Schizosaccharomyces pombe: one gene and its partner. The protein of the gene in region 2 interacts with the protein of the main gene of each other region in a pairwise test. Each region holds a gene or a part of one and is shown on either strand. Other genes may lie near its edges. The genes, in order: SPOM_SPBC21B10.08C and meu43.

What was found.
Region 1: the proteins of meu43 (region 2) and SPOM_SPBC21B10.08C interact in a two-hybrid assay, tested with the Schizosaccharomyces pombe proteins (one large-scale study listed by BioGRID).

Annotation. Positions count from the first base shown.
Region 1 is NC_003423.3:1,653,990-1,657,581, reverse strand, and holds SPOM_SPBC21B10.08C (uncharacterized protein), read right to left. Parts: upstream 1,678-3,592; 5' UTR 1,637-1,677; coding exon 1,568-1,636; exon of another isoform or gene 1,333-1,567; coding exon 805-1,332; 3' UTR 654-804; downstream 1-653. Other genes in the region: glycosyl hydrolase family Crr1, read left to right, coding at 1-396; SPOM_SPBC21B10.09 (acetyl-CoA transporter), read left to right, coding at 3,307-3,481, 3,589-3,592.
Region 2 is NC_003424.3:2,328,616-2,332,776, forward strand, and holds meu43 (protein meu43), read left to right. Parts: upstream 1-2,194; 5' UTR 2,195-2,539; coding exon 2,540-3,349; 3' UTR 3,350-3,504; downstream 3,505-4,161. Other genes in the region: citrate synthase Cit1, read left to right, coding at 32-1,481; flippase Neo1, read right to left, coding at 3,505-3,641, 3,691-3,770, 3,822-3,948, 3,990-4,161.

The DNA of each region.
Region 1 (3,592 bases), on a different chromosome or scaffold from region 2:
GGCTGTGGTGTTGAAAATCCTAGTGGTCCTTCTTATGGTGAAGCTTTCAACAAAAATGGAGGCGGTGTATTTGTTCTTGATTGGCGTAGTGAAGGTATTCGATCGTGGTTTTTTAATCGTTCTGAAATTCCATCTGACATTACTTCTGGTTCTCCCCAACCTGCTAAATGGAGTGAACCCGTAGCTGACTTTCCAGATACCAAATGCGATATCGACAAAATGTTTTCAAAGCAAAAAATATTATTTGATTTGACATTTTGTGGTGATTGGGCAGGTTCTTCAGTTTATTCATCAGCAGGATGCCCCGGTTCGTGCAACGACTTTGTTGGTAATAATCCTCATAATTTTACTGAAGCATACTGGAATATCAAAAGCTTGGCCGTTTATCAATACTAAACCCCCTTCTTTTTTCTTTTTGATGAATTTTCTTGATTATATAGGCATAACATTAACATTGCATGCGTGATATCATCTCGATATATTGTGTGTAAATAAAATACATTTTGATTAGAACTTGAAGTAGAGAAACATTTTTTCGCATGTGTTTAGCAAAATGCGTAAAATAGTAATAAGCCTAAGTTTTGTCTGAAATTATGCGAGCTTGAATTTTTTAATAACTTGTGTTCTAATGCCATCGTTTACAAAGTAAATTTCGGTCTTAAAATTTCAATAAATTCACTACGCTAATTGATTAATAATATAGGGTTTAGGAATATTCATATAAGGTACTCTTCAGAAATATCAAAAGGTTTGGGATTCGTATATGTTGTAAAAACGTTTGTTCATTTCTGTTGCAAAATACATCTAAGGGCGGTTTAAGAAACCAACGCCAGAATAAATCACTTGCTGAGAAACAGAAGTAGCACCAGAAATTTCAGCAGGACCAGGCTCAATACCACTCTTGGAGTATCTGGTAACGACAGCATATAGGCTAGGATCATCCAAGGAATGAATAATCAAACTTGTGTCAGCTTTAGGATTAACGGTGAGCTGTTGCTTAAGAGTAGCAGAATCGCCAGTATATTCGGTATACAAAACATAGTCCTTGGCATCTGGGCCTAAGTTGTCCTTATCTAAATGACCATCAACAACCTTAAAATTCAATAGTTGCAAAGGCTCTGCCAAAGGAGCATGAGTAGAGGTCAAATAATTGGCAAAAGCAAGGAAGGGATTTGAGGTTTTGTGAGAATTCTCTAATACCTCCTTTGAATCATACAGCTCAAGACCAAAGATATAATCAGGGTTTTTAGCATCACGAGCGAAATAATAGGTTTTAGTGAAGGGTTCTGATTTCAATACATGCTCATTAACTTTACTCAAAAGGTCAAGGATCTGTACATATAGTTAGTAAAGGATTCAAGAAAAGGATAAATTCCTGAACAAAAGCAAACAACAATTACAGTAATGAGAGTAGATTTCTATTACAGCACAGAAGATTTAAACTGACATGTCGTGGCATCTCATTTATTTCCAACTTTACAATGCAGTTGAGATAGACATTTCTCAATTCACCACGCTTATTCTATAAACACCTTGATAATGCTTTTGCATTCAATTTTTAACTCACCTTATCACCTTCACCCTTCTTACCGATAATTTTGGCAATGTAGACGTGAGTACTAGCAGGGAAACTCATAATTCTTTAACAACTATATAACTTATTGTCAAATGCTTTTGGGCAGTTAATTCGTATGAAGTAGTATATTTGTAGTCAGTCACGTGACGGGTTGCATAGAAAATGAAAGAATGCGATCGGGTAAATCGCGGACTTGATGTCAAACCAACCAAACTAGGTATTAAAGTATTCATAATTTTAAGCAAAAGGTTCCATAATTACGGATAGATTACGATAGGAATGCAAAAATAACCTTGATTATGCTACTGTTCTCCAACGTGTCGAACAAACACTTCTTGACGATCAATAGAATTATTATATAATATAGTTGTAATTGGTCATATAAAAATTTGAGAATTGACCTGTCGACCTTGACAAGTCTACGTATTCTACGAAGTTCCATAATTTTTATATGAACAAAGTCTACATAGTACAGCAACTAGTTTCGGTCAGTCAACCGTTCGTAAATTTGAGAGCTTTCATCAGCAATATCATAAGTCTAAGACCACTGGTTTCAAATTTATCCAAATAGTTTGTAAATTAATGCATCCAAAAAGTGTACTGTTCAAAGACATTACTTTTGTTAAACACAATCGCTATGCTACTACTCCCTTCGCTTACTCCGCGACTTGTGAAATATTTGACACTAGCGAAATTATAATTAGTAGTTTTTTGAAACATGTTTACAAAGCCGTTAATTTGAGGATAATTAAAAAAATGTATAGTTAATCATAAAAAATAGTCTGTTCTTTTTTCAAGCGTTTACAATAAAACATATGCAATTTAATATATGCTGATCATTATATTAAGGTTATCTTGAGTAGTAAAATAGGGAAATGCGAACGAAAATCCAACTTTAACAGATTTTCAAAGTGCCCAACTAACCGTATTTTTATAATCATCTTTTTTTTTGGAAGTGAAGTGCTTTTTTACGCTAACCATTTAAACAGATACTTTGAAGAGACATATTATAGAAAACAAATAGTAACTAACACCATTTATTTACAATGCTAAGGTTTTTTCTACAAATTTATTCATATATTTTATCATTGAAAAAAGCAACCATTCTACAAGAAAATCGTATTGTAAGATAGCATATTATCCGTTAGCCATGCAGTTGGTATTATTGTTTTGATGGTACGCTAAACGAAATGGGATTTTAAATCGTGATCTATTTAAAGCGGTAAACAGGTATCAAGTATATTCGTATGAAGGTAATACTTTTATTTGTCACTGAAAATAGCTCATGTCTAAACATGAAGCATGACTTCAGTAGGTTTGCTTAATAAGTATTTTAATAATAATAACAATACTTAGAATCTATTTTGTATAGCGAATGAATAAATAGAACGCTATTATATAACGAGGTTAACGTAATATGTTACTGCTGTCGTTATCAACGAAATAAACTAGTGAACTCGCATACGCTATCCTGCTAGTGTAATTTGTCAATCGTTCGTTGAAGAATGTAGGCTGGTATGTTTGGCAACAACACCACTGCGATTAAATCTTCGTATTGAGGCATCGATTTTTCTTGGAAAACCTTAGACATAAATTACAGGGGATGAAATTTTGGAATTTAGTTTTCTGACATAAAAGGATTTGCATTTGTTTTCTTAATTACAGTAGAATTCGAATTTACGCGTAATTATCATTACGTTCAACTTATTAAAAGCTCGAATTTCTTTTCCATGGTCTTTAAGGCTCACCATCGAAGTATTACTCGACAAGATATAGAGCTTGAAGATTTAGAAAATGCTCCTGCTTCCATCGCATCAATTGAAAATGATACTTTAGAAGCTAACGTGGGTAGTACGCCTCTGACGGCTAAGCAAAAAAGAAACATCTATTTTCTGATACTACTGTGTAAGTCAATTCTAATTTTTTTCAACCATCATTCCTTAATTGTTATTGTATGGATAGTTGATTTATTTACTCACATGTGTGTGCATTTATTATATTAACAATTCAAGATCT
Region 2 (4,161 bases):
TTTTACTTTTTACTAACTTTTAAATTATTAGGATGATTATATTAAACGCACCTCGTTTTATGACAAACACAAGATTAGCTAGTACTCGACGACTTGCTTCGTCGTTACTTTCTCAAGCGTCGCTTCGTTCCCGTCAATTAAACCCCCTTTTCACATCTTCTTACTCAACTCGTTCCTCTTCCTTAAAGGATCGGTTAGCTGAGCTTATTCCTGAAAAACAAGCAGAAATCAAAAAATTTCGCGCAGAACATGGCCAAGATGTCATTGGTGAGGTAACTATCAATCAAATGTATGGTGGTGCTCGTGGGGTTCGTTCTTTAATATGGGAAGGCTCTGTTTTAGACCCTAACGAGGGTATCCGATTCCGTGGTTATACTATCCCGGAATGCCAAAAATTACTTCCTTCTTCTCCCAACGGAAAACAGCCTCTTCCTGAATCTTTGTTCTGGCTTTTAGTTACCGGGGAAATTCCTACTCTGAGTCAAGTGCAGGCGCTTTCCGCTGACTGGGCCGCCCGTTCTCAGTTACCCAAATTTGTTGAAGAACTCATTGACCGTTGCCCTCCTACCCTTCATCCAATGGCCCAATTCTCTCTCGCTGTTACTGCACTTGAGCACGATTCTGCATTTGCTAAAGCATATGAGCGTGGAATGAACAAGCATGATTATTGGAAGTATGAATATGAAGACTGCATGGATTTGATTGCCAAGACCGTTCCAATTGCCGGTCGTATCTACCGCAATTTGTACCGTGATGGTGTTGTTGCTCCTATTCAAATGGATAAGGACCATTCGTACAATTTTGCTAATGTTCTGGGCTTTGCTAACAATGAGGAATTTGTGGAGCTTATGCGTCTTTATTTGACCATCCATGCTGACCACGAAGGTGGTAATGTATCTGCTCACACCGGTCATTTGGTAGGTTCTGCTCTTTCTTCACCCTTTTTGTCGATGGCTGCCTCCTTAAATGGACTTGCTGGTCCCCTTCATGGTCTTGCCAACCAAGAAGTTTTGAACTTTTTGATTACAATGAAGAAAGAAATCGGTGATGATTTATCTGAAGAAACAATCAAGTCTTATCTCTGGAAGCTTTTGAATTCTGGTCGTGTTGTTCCTGGTTATGGTCATGCCGTACTTCGTAAGACAGATCCTCGCTATACGGCTCAGCGTGAATTTGCACTTGAGCATCTTCCTAAAGATCCCATGTTTCAACTTGTAAGCCGTCTGTATGAAATAGTTCCAGGTGTTCTTACAGAGCATGGAAAAACCAAAAATCCATATCCCAACGTTGACTCACATTCTGGTGTTCTTTTGCAATATTATGGCTTGAAAGAACAAAGCTTCTACACCGTTTTGTTCGGTGTTTCTCGAACACTCGGTGTTGCCTCTCAACTCATCTGGGATCGAGCTTTGGGACTACCTATTGAGCGTCCTAAGTCTTTCTCTACTGAAGCATTAAAGAAGATGGTTGAAACGAAATGATTATCTTATTTCTTACAATGAAAATTATGTCGGCGCTTTTTTTTTCATTCATTATTTGTATAAATGTTTTATTTCCTACTTAGTTTTTACTGTGTTGGTGTTGTCAATTCCCGTTGCATTTAAAAATTGAATATCCGCAAATATATCAGCAAACACAATAATATTAATAATAAATTTCAAAATTGGTATAGCAAACAATGAATTTACTTAACTCTGTTGTATTCATGGCTTTAAAAAGTCTAACGTATAAGTTTTCAGTAAGCAAATTGTTATTTCAAAAGGCCTTCTCATCATCTGGTAACTTTCTATATATTTTAGCTAAATTATTTAATTTGGTATGAATGTAAAACACGCATAGTCAGACGAAAGCAATCCAATTAGGCTTTCGTCCCGGCTTAATTGGTGTCTAATATCTTTTTCTGCATATACACAGCGTACCAAAAGTCACTGTTAGCACTCCTTTTAGTTGCACGTGGATTCACAAGACCAAAGAACTTTGATTCACCGAGACTCAAATTCCAAAGCCTCCAATCGTGCTATGTATGTGGCATAGAAAAAGATAAAATTTCTAAATGGAAGAGATATATATATGAATAAAAATTCCTGAACTACCGTATTTCACTAGTTTTCATTAGGCTGGTTTAAGATAGTTTTCTAATTGCTTCGCAATTTGTTTCAATTTTACGAATTGCTGTATTAAGCAGAATATAATTAGTAAAAAATATGATTTGGAGTAATTTGTATTAAGACTTATTAGCTACCATAAGATATCGTCTTGAAATTCATTGATAGATTTGGTGTAGCTGCTTCATAAAAAAAGACGGAGATTGGATCTTAAAATCTGTAATTTCAGGCCATTTCTTTGATCTAACTTATAACTGCTAACTAGTTGAATGTTTATTGGTGGGGAGTAGCTTTGAGATGTTGCTACTGTTTGGCGTACCGCCAAACACCTGCCAATCTTTTACAATTAACGCGACTCCTCTATACATCAATACAAACATTGAAGCAACATATAACCATCACACGGCGTTTGTATTACCATCGTAAAAGAAAAAATGAATAACATTACACGTGACATCTATACCAAAGGACAACCTGCTGATCTGAAACGTCTGCTGATGAAGCGTAACTCTTTTAGAAGGCCATTGTTAAACATGCGATGTAATTCTGTCTTACAATATTCGTTGGAAAAAAGAAAACTTACCGTTCAAGATTTAAAAGACACGAGAATGGAATTAAATAACATGATTCGCATCTTGACTGAAGCCATGGCAGCCCACGAATGGACTGTCGATAATGTAAACATAGCTGACATACAGTCTCTTCAATCAACTATCCATTCGACCCTTAAAAATTTTCAAAAAATCAATGTCCTTCAATTAAATATAAACGCATCTGATAATTCCTTGGCTTATCTTTCAAAACCTGAAGAATCTTATAATTTCTTAACAATTTACTTCTCAACCTTGTTGAGTTATGAGAAAGTAGAAAATCTCATTAAGAAAAGTTTAACGGTAATTGATTCTTTGTATGGACTTTTAAACTATCAGATAAATGCTCAACATTCATTGGGTTGTATTCCTCTGAATCAAGATTCTTTTAAACAGCTTAAACTATTAATTTGCATTCTGGAAGAAGACATTAAATTAGATGACTGTGGACTCGAAATTTCGGCGTCTAAGAATGAATATCTCGAAAAAATAAAAACCCACTATAAAACTTGGCTGCGCATCCATACATTTTTAACCTTATTTCCAGTTCCGTCAGTTCTATCTTCGAATTTAAAGAAACAAATGTACGGCTGGTTTGAAGACTTACGAGACGAAAGCTTGAAGTCAATAATACTAGCCAGCTTGAGTGAATAATGAGGTAGGAGTTACTAGGAAGAGCAATTTTATTTGCAAGAACTTCTATTACAACAGGGCAAACCACGAGAGGTCTTTACCACACCATTAAGTTTTATAATGATCGATTAAAAGCTAATCAAACGCGCGTATCAAAAGAAAGTAATATTTCCAAATTAACGTTGCAGCTTTGCATAACTCGATGGTTTAAGCTTCCTTTTAAGAGCTTTGCCGCACCAGACGGGTAAAAGACTGATAAATAGTATAAGCGCACTCACCCAATAAAACTTCAATCCAAGGAGGAATTTGAGTTCTATATGTATTAGCTTCTCTAAAATTCTTCGTAAATATATTAAACATACCAAAATAATTAGTTAAAAATGGCACGCTAAGGATATACATCATCAAAGTTAACAACTCAGACATTACAATTGTTTGTTCCCTAACGTCGTTAGTATATATACCTACACACAAGTGAGAAAGGTAAACTTACCATGTGTTAATCTGTAAAGCAACCATAATAAGCTCGTTGAAGATCAAACAAGAAAAGCAAACAGCCAACATTTTCCCTTCTTCCTCAAATCCAATGAGGTAGAATGTAAACAGTTGGATAATTAATCCTATGTTTGTAAGTATGGTAATGAAATAAAATTTAACATACCTTGATATACGCTAATGAGAACGCAAGATATAAAATTTTTGTAAGAAAAACATTTTTGCTCCCTCATTTCCTTATACAGTTCTGGGAATAAGAAGACCAGCTTCTCACTTACATCCCTATCGTACACAATCGAAAAAACGGGAAGCATTGTGTACATTGTAGAGTATCCAAC